Arabidopsis thaliana: one gene and its partner. The protein of the gene in region 1 interacts with the protein of each later gene in a pairwise test. Each region holds a gene or a part of one and is shown on either strand. Other genes may lie near its edges.

Region 1 (3,755 bases):
TTGCAAACTTGCCTATGGATGCGACTATTGAGCAACTTTATGAAACATTTAAAAGTTTTGGAGCTATTAGAAAGGATGGTATCCAAGTCAGAAGTTACCCGGTTAGTTATTCTTTCAATGATCTACAAAAAAATTATTTGCAAAGTTTGAAAAACCTTATAACTGGTTCAATCACACGCTTAAAAATCTGTGAATTTTCAGGAAAAAAAGAACTGTATTGGGTTTGTGGCATTCGAAAATGGTGAAGCAGTAAAAAATGTCTTTCAGGTATGTTTTTGTTTGCATATCAAACTCTCGGCTATAATGTAATTTGAAGTTCTTGTTATCTGATCTCCAAATGCACAACTCTAGGCTCACAGGGAATCACCAATCAGAATCGGAAACCGAAGAGCATCTATAGAAGAAAAGCGAGGCAAGTTTCTGAAAGGCATTGTTGTCTCAAAGATTGTAACTTTAATTAAATGTAAAAACAAAATCCTAATCTTACTTTTTCTGGATTATGCAGGAGGTAACAATCAAAATGGCAACAGAGTCTCTACAAGAAACAACAGTGGTTATAAAAATGAGGATGGTTTCAGACGTGATGGATACAAACCTAGGGGCAGTGGCGTCAATGGAGGACGAGGCTATGGGAGACGGAACAGTGAGTCTAATGGGGATGGTAAAGCATACCAGAACAATGGCCATGGCAATACTGAGGCCAAAAACTAGATTAGTTTTTTCTTCTTCTAAGCTTTGCTCATGGTTGAGAATCTGAGGTTGTAGGCGATGTTAAAACAAATTTTTGTTTCCGTGGATATCTTAGGTGTTGATCTTTTCGATTTGTGATATTGTTTGGGGATAAATCTAGAACATTTTTCTTCACTCTTTGATCTCTGTATCTTCTCATGAACAAAGCAGAGAACAAAATCGAATTGATTTAAGGTTCTAATGACCTACATACTTTCTTTACAGGAGATAAACTCCACAACTTTTGTTTTTGTCTAATCAAACATCAAAACAGAATCAAGAACAAGAAGAACAACACCACGGACATTGAGGAAAACATGAGAAGCACCTACACATTGACTGCTTCTGATTTGTTGCATCTGCTACTGGTTTTTGTGACTCTTGTGACTGATTTGCTTGTTCCTTCTGTTTCTCCGTTTCTACCTTTCTTGAATCACTTGCAGCTCCAGCCAAACTGTAAAAACCAAAAAAGCAAAGCAAGAAACTTTCATTAAAACCGAGGGGAGGAAATGTTTGTCAGCCATGGTCATGGATGGAGTGTATTTACATTGGGAAAGAGAAGGAGTGCGCGCTGTTTGAGCTTCGGTTAGAACGGTAAGAAGTTGTAGGAGTTTTCCAAGAAACAGCAGGATGTTGTTCTTTCTCATGGCTTTCTCTTTTCCCTTCTTCTTCATCTGATGATGATGTATGTGTTTCTTCTACTAGTACAACTTTCTCTTCCTTATCTGATTCAACAACTTTCGGTTCTTCGACTACGGGTTTTGGTTCCGATCCTGGTACAGGCGGCATAGGAAGTCCAGGACTATACGCAAGTAACTCACCGGATTTATAAAGTTCACCTGATTTCATCAAATCACCACCATAACCAGTGAAACTATTGTTTCCTAAATGAATACTGAAGAGAGATTCATTCGAAGTGCAGCTCCATTCAGCTGGCACATTCGATTTGCTTCTCTCGAAAACCGAAGATGGAATCCTATTCGGGTCATATTTTCCGTTGTTATCTCTATCCATTACTTGAACAGGTGGTGAAGAAATCTCCGGATCATTCAATGATTCTTTTAGTACCTCTTCAGGTAGATCTTTCGGTGGCGATAAATACGAAGAAGAAGAAGACGAAGATGACGAAGACGACGATAATCTTGAATGTGATTCTGAGTTAATAATTACAGTTTCTGTTTCTTGTAAAGGTATCGTTTTATGCTCAACATCTCCATTTTCGTCGTCTAATGAACCTTTTTTGTTTACATCTTGATCATGTTTTTGTTTGGATAACACATGTTCTTCATGTTTAGACTCCATAAACACCTGGAGAAGCAATCATCAATGCATCATTTTAAGCAATTTCTCGGGCTATTCGAACAAATATAACATCAAAAAACATACCTTGAAATCGATTTGACCAGAGCCTGATGAGTGAAGTTGTGAAATTTCGTTTCTTTTTCTTGCTAGAGAGAATGAAGGAAGAAAGAAAAAAATTAAGATGAGGAAAAGGGGATCTAGGGTTTGGTTCGTTGTCTGGAGATAAACAGAACGAAAGGTATCTCGTAAAGTTCGGAACTTTAACTAACAAAACCATGGCTGCATTTCGCGCCATGTCTTCTTATCTGTTCTGTTTTATAAATGATCCTCTGTGTTACGGTCTATTTAAGAAACCGTGTTCTATCCAATAGATAAACGCCTTGACTTTTAACACGTGGCTTCAGATACTAGAACAAAAAAAAAAGCATCATTGTTCATCTTCTTCCTCTTCTGTTTACTGTTTGGGGAAAGTGAAAGCTTGTAAACGAAAGGTAACGTTTTTATGGAATCTAGGGTTTGTATTTCCCTTTACTGTAACATGGTCTTTGAAAGTTTCTTCCTTTTTAGGATTCTTTGCTTTTTTCGGGTATGTATTTGGAATTGGATATGGATACTGTAGACCTAATTGATCGGTGTGATTTGTATTGGATAGTTTTAACGGATCGAATTCTTAGAATTAAGATACTGAATCTGAGAATTGGATCTTCTTTAACTGCAAATTTTGTGACTTTTCTTCGTTTTAGTGTCTTAAGAACTTAAACACGAAGTTATTCTTGATAATTTGATGCAGCTTCCACCATTTAGAAAAGTATTGTCTTTTGTTCTGTGAATTTCTCAGGTTCGTTGGTTCTTCAAGAGAGATCATATGAAGAAATTGAATTTGAGTTTCATGTCAAATTTTGTTGTTTTCAGGTTGTAAACTGTGGCCAAAGGTTTACTTGGACTCCTTCTGTTTCACTGGAAACTGTTCATTTGAATGGTGAGAGTTTGATTCTGATGCATTAGTAAATTGTAAGGAAGAGAGGATTGAGCAAACATGGGAGAACAACTAGATCCATTTTCCGCTTCTAATCTTCCGGATTTCATATCTTCTCAAAAAATTGGTAGACCGGTTAATTTCGAAGGACAAACTAACCGTGGGCATCCTTTTTCTGGTCTTAAGAAGAGAGGTCAATCTAGTCGTTCTTGGGTGAAAATTGATCAAGATGGGAACTCTGCGGTTTTGGAGCTCGACAAGGCGACTATAATGAAGCGTTGTTCCTTACCATCCAGGGATTTGAGACTCCTTGACCCTTTGTTTATCTATCCCTCGAGTATTTTGGGGCGTGAGAGAGCGATAGTTGTCAGTCTTGAGAAGATCAGGTGTATTATCACAGCTGAAGAGGTCATTCTCATGAATGCTCGAGATGCATCTGTTGTTCAGTACCAGTCGGAACTGTGTAAACGCCTTCAATCAAACCACAACCTAAATGTTAAAGGTCAGTGGTTTTGGTATAGCTTTGGTGGTCTGGAGTTATGATATAGATTAGATTGCTGATGAAACTGTTATATGTGTTTGGTTTTAGATGATTTGCCATTTGAATTTAAAGCGTTGGAGCTGGTTTTGGAACTATCTTGCTTGTCTTTAGATGCACAGGTATGCCACATTCTCTTCATCATTCTTCTATATGATTTATTGCATGACTTTAAGCTAATTGTTAAGCTCAAAAGTTTTGGTGAACGTG
Region 2 (3,755 bases), on another chromosome or scaffold:
TAAATCAAATTATATGCTTTCTAGGTATGTTTTAATTAATTACTCTCTTTTTTTTATCATACATCTTTACAGACTCACGAAAAATGATCTATGATTTCATCTAGTGAAAGATAAATGGATTAATCAGTTTGTATAACATCTTAATTTCGTTTTTTTTTTTCATTTCGTTAGTGTCTATTGTCTAAATTTCGATAATTCAGTTTTCATTTGATTACTATACTCAAACAAAATACCTAGCGTAAATTGCTTTGTTAGACCATATTTAGCAACAAAATCTAATAAAGTATTGATCTTTGAGTCTAGGTTTCCACAGTTCACCACGCAATACTCACCTTTCTTTATACACTTTACAAAGATAATGAGTAATCGTTAAATAATCCAAAGAATTTACTCATCCATGTACACATAGTTTATACTTAATCCTCTTAGCAAGAAATTATGGCGTCTAAGAATCGATTTAGATGAAAAACGGACCAACTAAGCAAACTAGAATATATGTTCACTTCACGACAACTTTGTATATAATTATACACAAAACAATATACATTCATTTTGTATGATATACAACAAATCTTTTGAAAATACTACACTCTTTTCTTTAATGTATTTTTAGGCTAATGTTGAAATATTCTTGTATTTATATTATGAAATTTGAATTAGACCGGATCAAACCGGATCCACGTTATCTTGATTTTAAAATGAAGAACTCCAAATAAATCTAGATTACAAACTGATTATCATTTGCTAAAAAGATCCTAAAGGTTATCATTTGAGATTCAGCAGGCGAACAACAAAAATTATTACTATATTCGTACGGTTCCATTCGATTTTTGTTCACTCATTTGTTGTTACTACACTTTACTACTCAAAATTTGTTACCCTCGTTTAGTCCGATTCGATGGTTCCTCATCGTTCATTGCGGTGAATTACTATGAAAGTACAAATTAAAAATAATCTGAAACATTGATGATAACAATGTAGCAATGTAGTCGTAACATGCCAACATCGAATTCTGGGCCAACTATATTTTGCTTTGGTAAGCGAACCATTCATTCAGTTTTTAATTATTATATCCAATTGTTTGACGCGTTTTAAATAAATCAATAACATAATCCATGTTCATACCAATTAAATATAGATATGTATGTACGTGTTGTCTTGTCTTATGAATCAACCCTCCTTGGAGAATCTTATGCCATAAAGCCAATAAAAAGTTACCTACTCTTTCAATTTACCTCGTTCGTTTAATCTGTTTTGATCAACACTCCCCATATTATCAAATCATTTAGGAAACGTATAAATGAAACGAAAATATATGTTTTAGTTACTCAACAATGTTATTAAGGGTCAGGCAACAAAAAAATCTTGAGGGGTAAAAACAAAGTTCTCGATTTAATAATTATAGACTATAGGTTTAAACAGAGACCCACAAATTCTGCATTTCTCACCTTCCAACTGTAACTTTAATATTTGTTTCAAATTGACACGGCGGGTAAAAATAATCAGGTGTATCCTCCCTCACACTAAGGCGAAACTAACATACTAATAAGGAAGAGACACGTGTAAAAAAGACCGGTCAAAGACGCTACGTAGATAAAAGTCACGAAGCTTGCTCGTTTTTAAAATTCAAAGAGGTTTCATCTCCGTATAAGTAGGCGACGAAGCATACCACGAAGATCGAAAAAAAACAAATCAGATTCTCAAATACTGAAAATAAAAAGAAGAAGAGAGAAATCTACGGTGGTGGGTGATTCGCCGGAGTTCAATTTCGTAGCTAGATTTCTCCTCCTTTTCCCCCCGACGAGCTGTGCGAGAGAGGGAGGGGAATCATGCAGAAACGGAGAACGGTGAAGGAATCTACGAAGATAAGAAATGGTAAAGGTATGGATTCCGGCGAAAAGAAGAGATCTGAGAAGAGATTGATGAAGTTCGAGGAGTTACCTAGGTATTTGAAAGATAACGAGTTCATACACAATCATTATCGATGTGAGTGGTCAATCAAAGAAACTTTCCTCAGCGCTTTCTCATGGCACAATGAGACTCTCAACATCTGGACGTATGTTTTCGTTTTCTTCTGATTTTTTTTTCCCTTGGTTGAAAATTTGTAAACGGGGTTTTGAAATTTGGCAGGCATTTGTGTGGATTTGCGATATTTACTTGGATGATGGTTGTGAGTTCAATGGAGACGACGGAGCTTGGCCTCGCCGGCTTTGTTAGCCTTCTCTCCGGGTAAGAAAAATCTCGAGGTCAAAATCGTCATTTTTTGTTTTGAGGAAAATTAAACAAATTTCAATCTTTTTGGGGGATTTGTGGGTCCTAATGACAGAGCAACAATTCGCTGGCCATGGCCGTCAATGGCAATGTCAAAAGATGTTTACTTCTCCAGCGATCAAACTCTGCATCACGTAAAGATTCTTCCTTTTTTATTCTGTGACATTGTTTATTCTAATTTAAGTAGTAGACATGCAACATAAGTGCTTTCAAATAACAAATCCCATTTTTGTTGTGTGCTGATTGCAATTAGCAGTAGTGCTAAATGGTAACTTTCACCCACCATGTCATGTTCTCTTTGGATTTTTTCTATCTTTCTGTTTTTAACTTTGGTTTTTATGGATACTTCAGTTTCTCTAGACTTGCTCTTTATGCTCACCTACTTTGAAATCACGTGATTTCCTACCGAAATTAAGGAACAAACTTTATGATTGGATTTGTTTAGTTTAGCATAAATCTTGTAACCTGCCCCAACTATTTGATGTTTCTCTCACTTTAGTTTTCTGTAGATTTTCTTTGTGCTCACCTAACTTTCCAACTAACATGATTTTTTCAACGGGTTTAAGAAAAGAAAGGCTGTTTTTTTGTCAACATAAACTTATGATTTGGTGGTGTCTACTGGCAGGACTTAAACGTGACACACACTCGCTCGCTCCTGAATTCTCAAGGAGATGTTAACTACGAAGCCATTCCGAAATGGCCATGGCTTGTGTTCTTGACCGGAGCAATGGGCTGCTTGATCTGCAGTTCCATGTCACACCTCTTCGCCTGTCACTCCAGACGGTTCAACCTCTTCTTCTGGCGTCTAGACTACGCTGGAATCTCCCTCATGATCGTCTGTTCATTCTTCGCACCTATCTACTATGCATTCTCATGCCACACTTACTGGCGACTCTTCTACCTCTCATCGATCTCAATCCTCGGTCTCCTCGCCATCTTCACTCTCCTCTCTCCATCACTCTCAGCTCCACGTTTCAGATCTTTCAGAGCAGCTCTGTTCCTAACAATGGGATTTTCTGGCGTAATACCAGCCACACATGTGCTTTACCTTCATAAGGATCACCCAAACGTGCTTATAGCTCTCGTATATGAACTTGCGATGGCTGTGTTGTATGCAACAGGAGCAGCGTTTTATGTTACCCGCATACCTGAAAGATGGAAGCCTGGGGCTTTTGATATTGCAGGACATAGCCATCAGATATTCCATGTGTTTGTAGTCTTAGGAGCTCTTGCTCATAGTGTTGCCAGTCTTCTTATCATGGATTTTCGACGGGCTTCTCCTTCTTGTGCCTTTTAACTCGAAAACACATTGTAAAACATTTAGTAATACTTCATTCAATGTATCAATGTATGTTTGTCCCCATAGAAGACGCAATGTACCATCCAAGATATTCAAAAGTAAACAAAAACTCAATTTCCTACAAGTATTGTTCAAGCTTCATGATACAAAGATCTAATCTAATTGATTCTTTCTGAAAGATAAA

Evidence for each region.
Region 2: the proteins of MGT3 (region 1) and HHP2 interact in a protein complementation assay, tested with the Arabidopsis thaliana proteins (one large-scale study listed by BioGRID).

The regions. Positions count from the first base shown.
Region 1 is NC_003071.7:1,101,481-1,105,235, reverse strand, and holds the start of MGT3 (magnesium transporter 3), read left to right. Parts: upstream 1-2,031; 5' UTR 2,032-2,269; intron 2,270-2,424; exon of another isoform or gene 2,425-2,522; intron 2,523-2,586; exon of another isoform or gene 2,587-2,943; 5' UTR 2,944-3,067; coding exon 3,068-3,509; intron 3,510-3,596; coding exon 3,597-3,667; intron 3,668-3,755. Other genes in the region: AT2G03640 (Nuclear transport factor 2 (NTF2) family protein with RNA binding (RRM-RBD-RNP motifs) domain-containing protein), read left to right, coding at 1-101, 202-267, 352-711; AT2G03630 (suppressor SRP40-like protein), read right to left, coding at 1,006-1,183, 1,277-2,031. UniProt on the Arabidopsis thaliana protein: Magnesium transporter that may mediate the influx of magnesium.
Region 2 is NC_003075.7:15,020,353-15,024,107, reverse strand, and holds the start of HHP2 (heptahelical transmembrane protein2), read left to right. Parts: upstream 1-1,662; 5' UTR 1,663-1,829; coding exon 1,830-2,056; intron 2,057-2,130; coding exon 2,131-2,229; intron 2,230-2,326; coding exon 2,327-2,405; intron 2,406-2,896; coding exon 2,897-3,568; 3' UTR 3,569-3,669; exon of another isoform or gene 3,670-3,750; 3' UTR 3,751-3,755.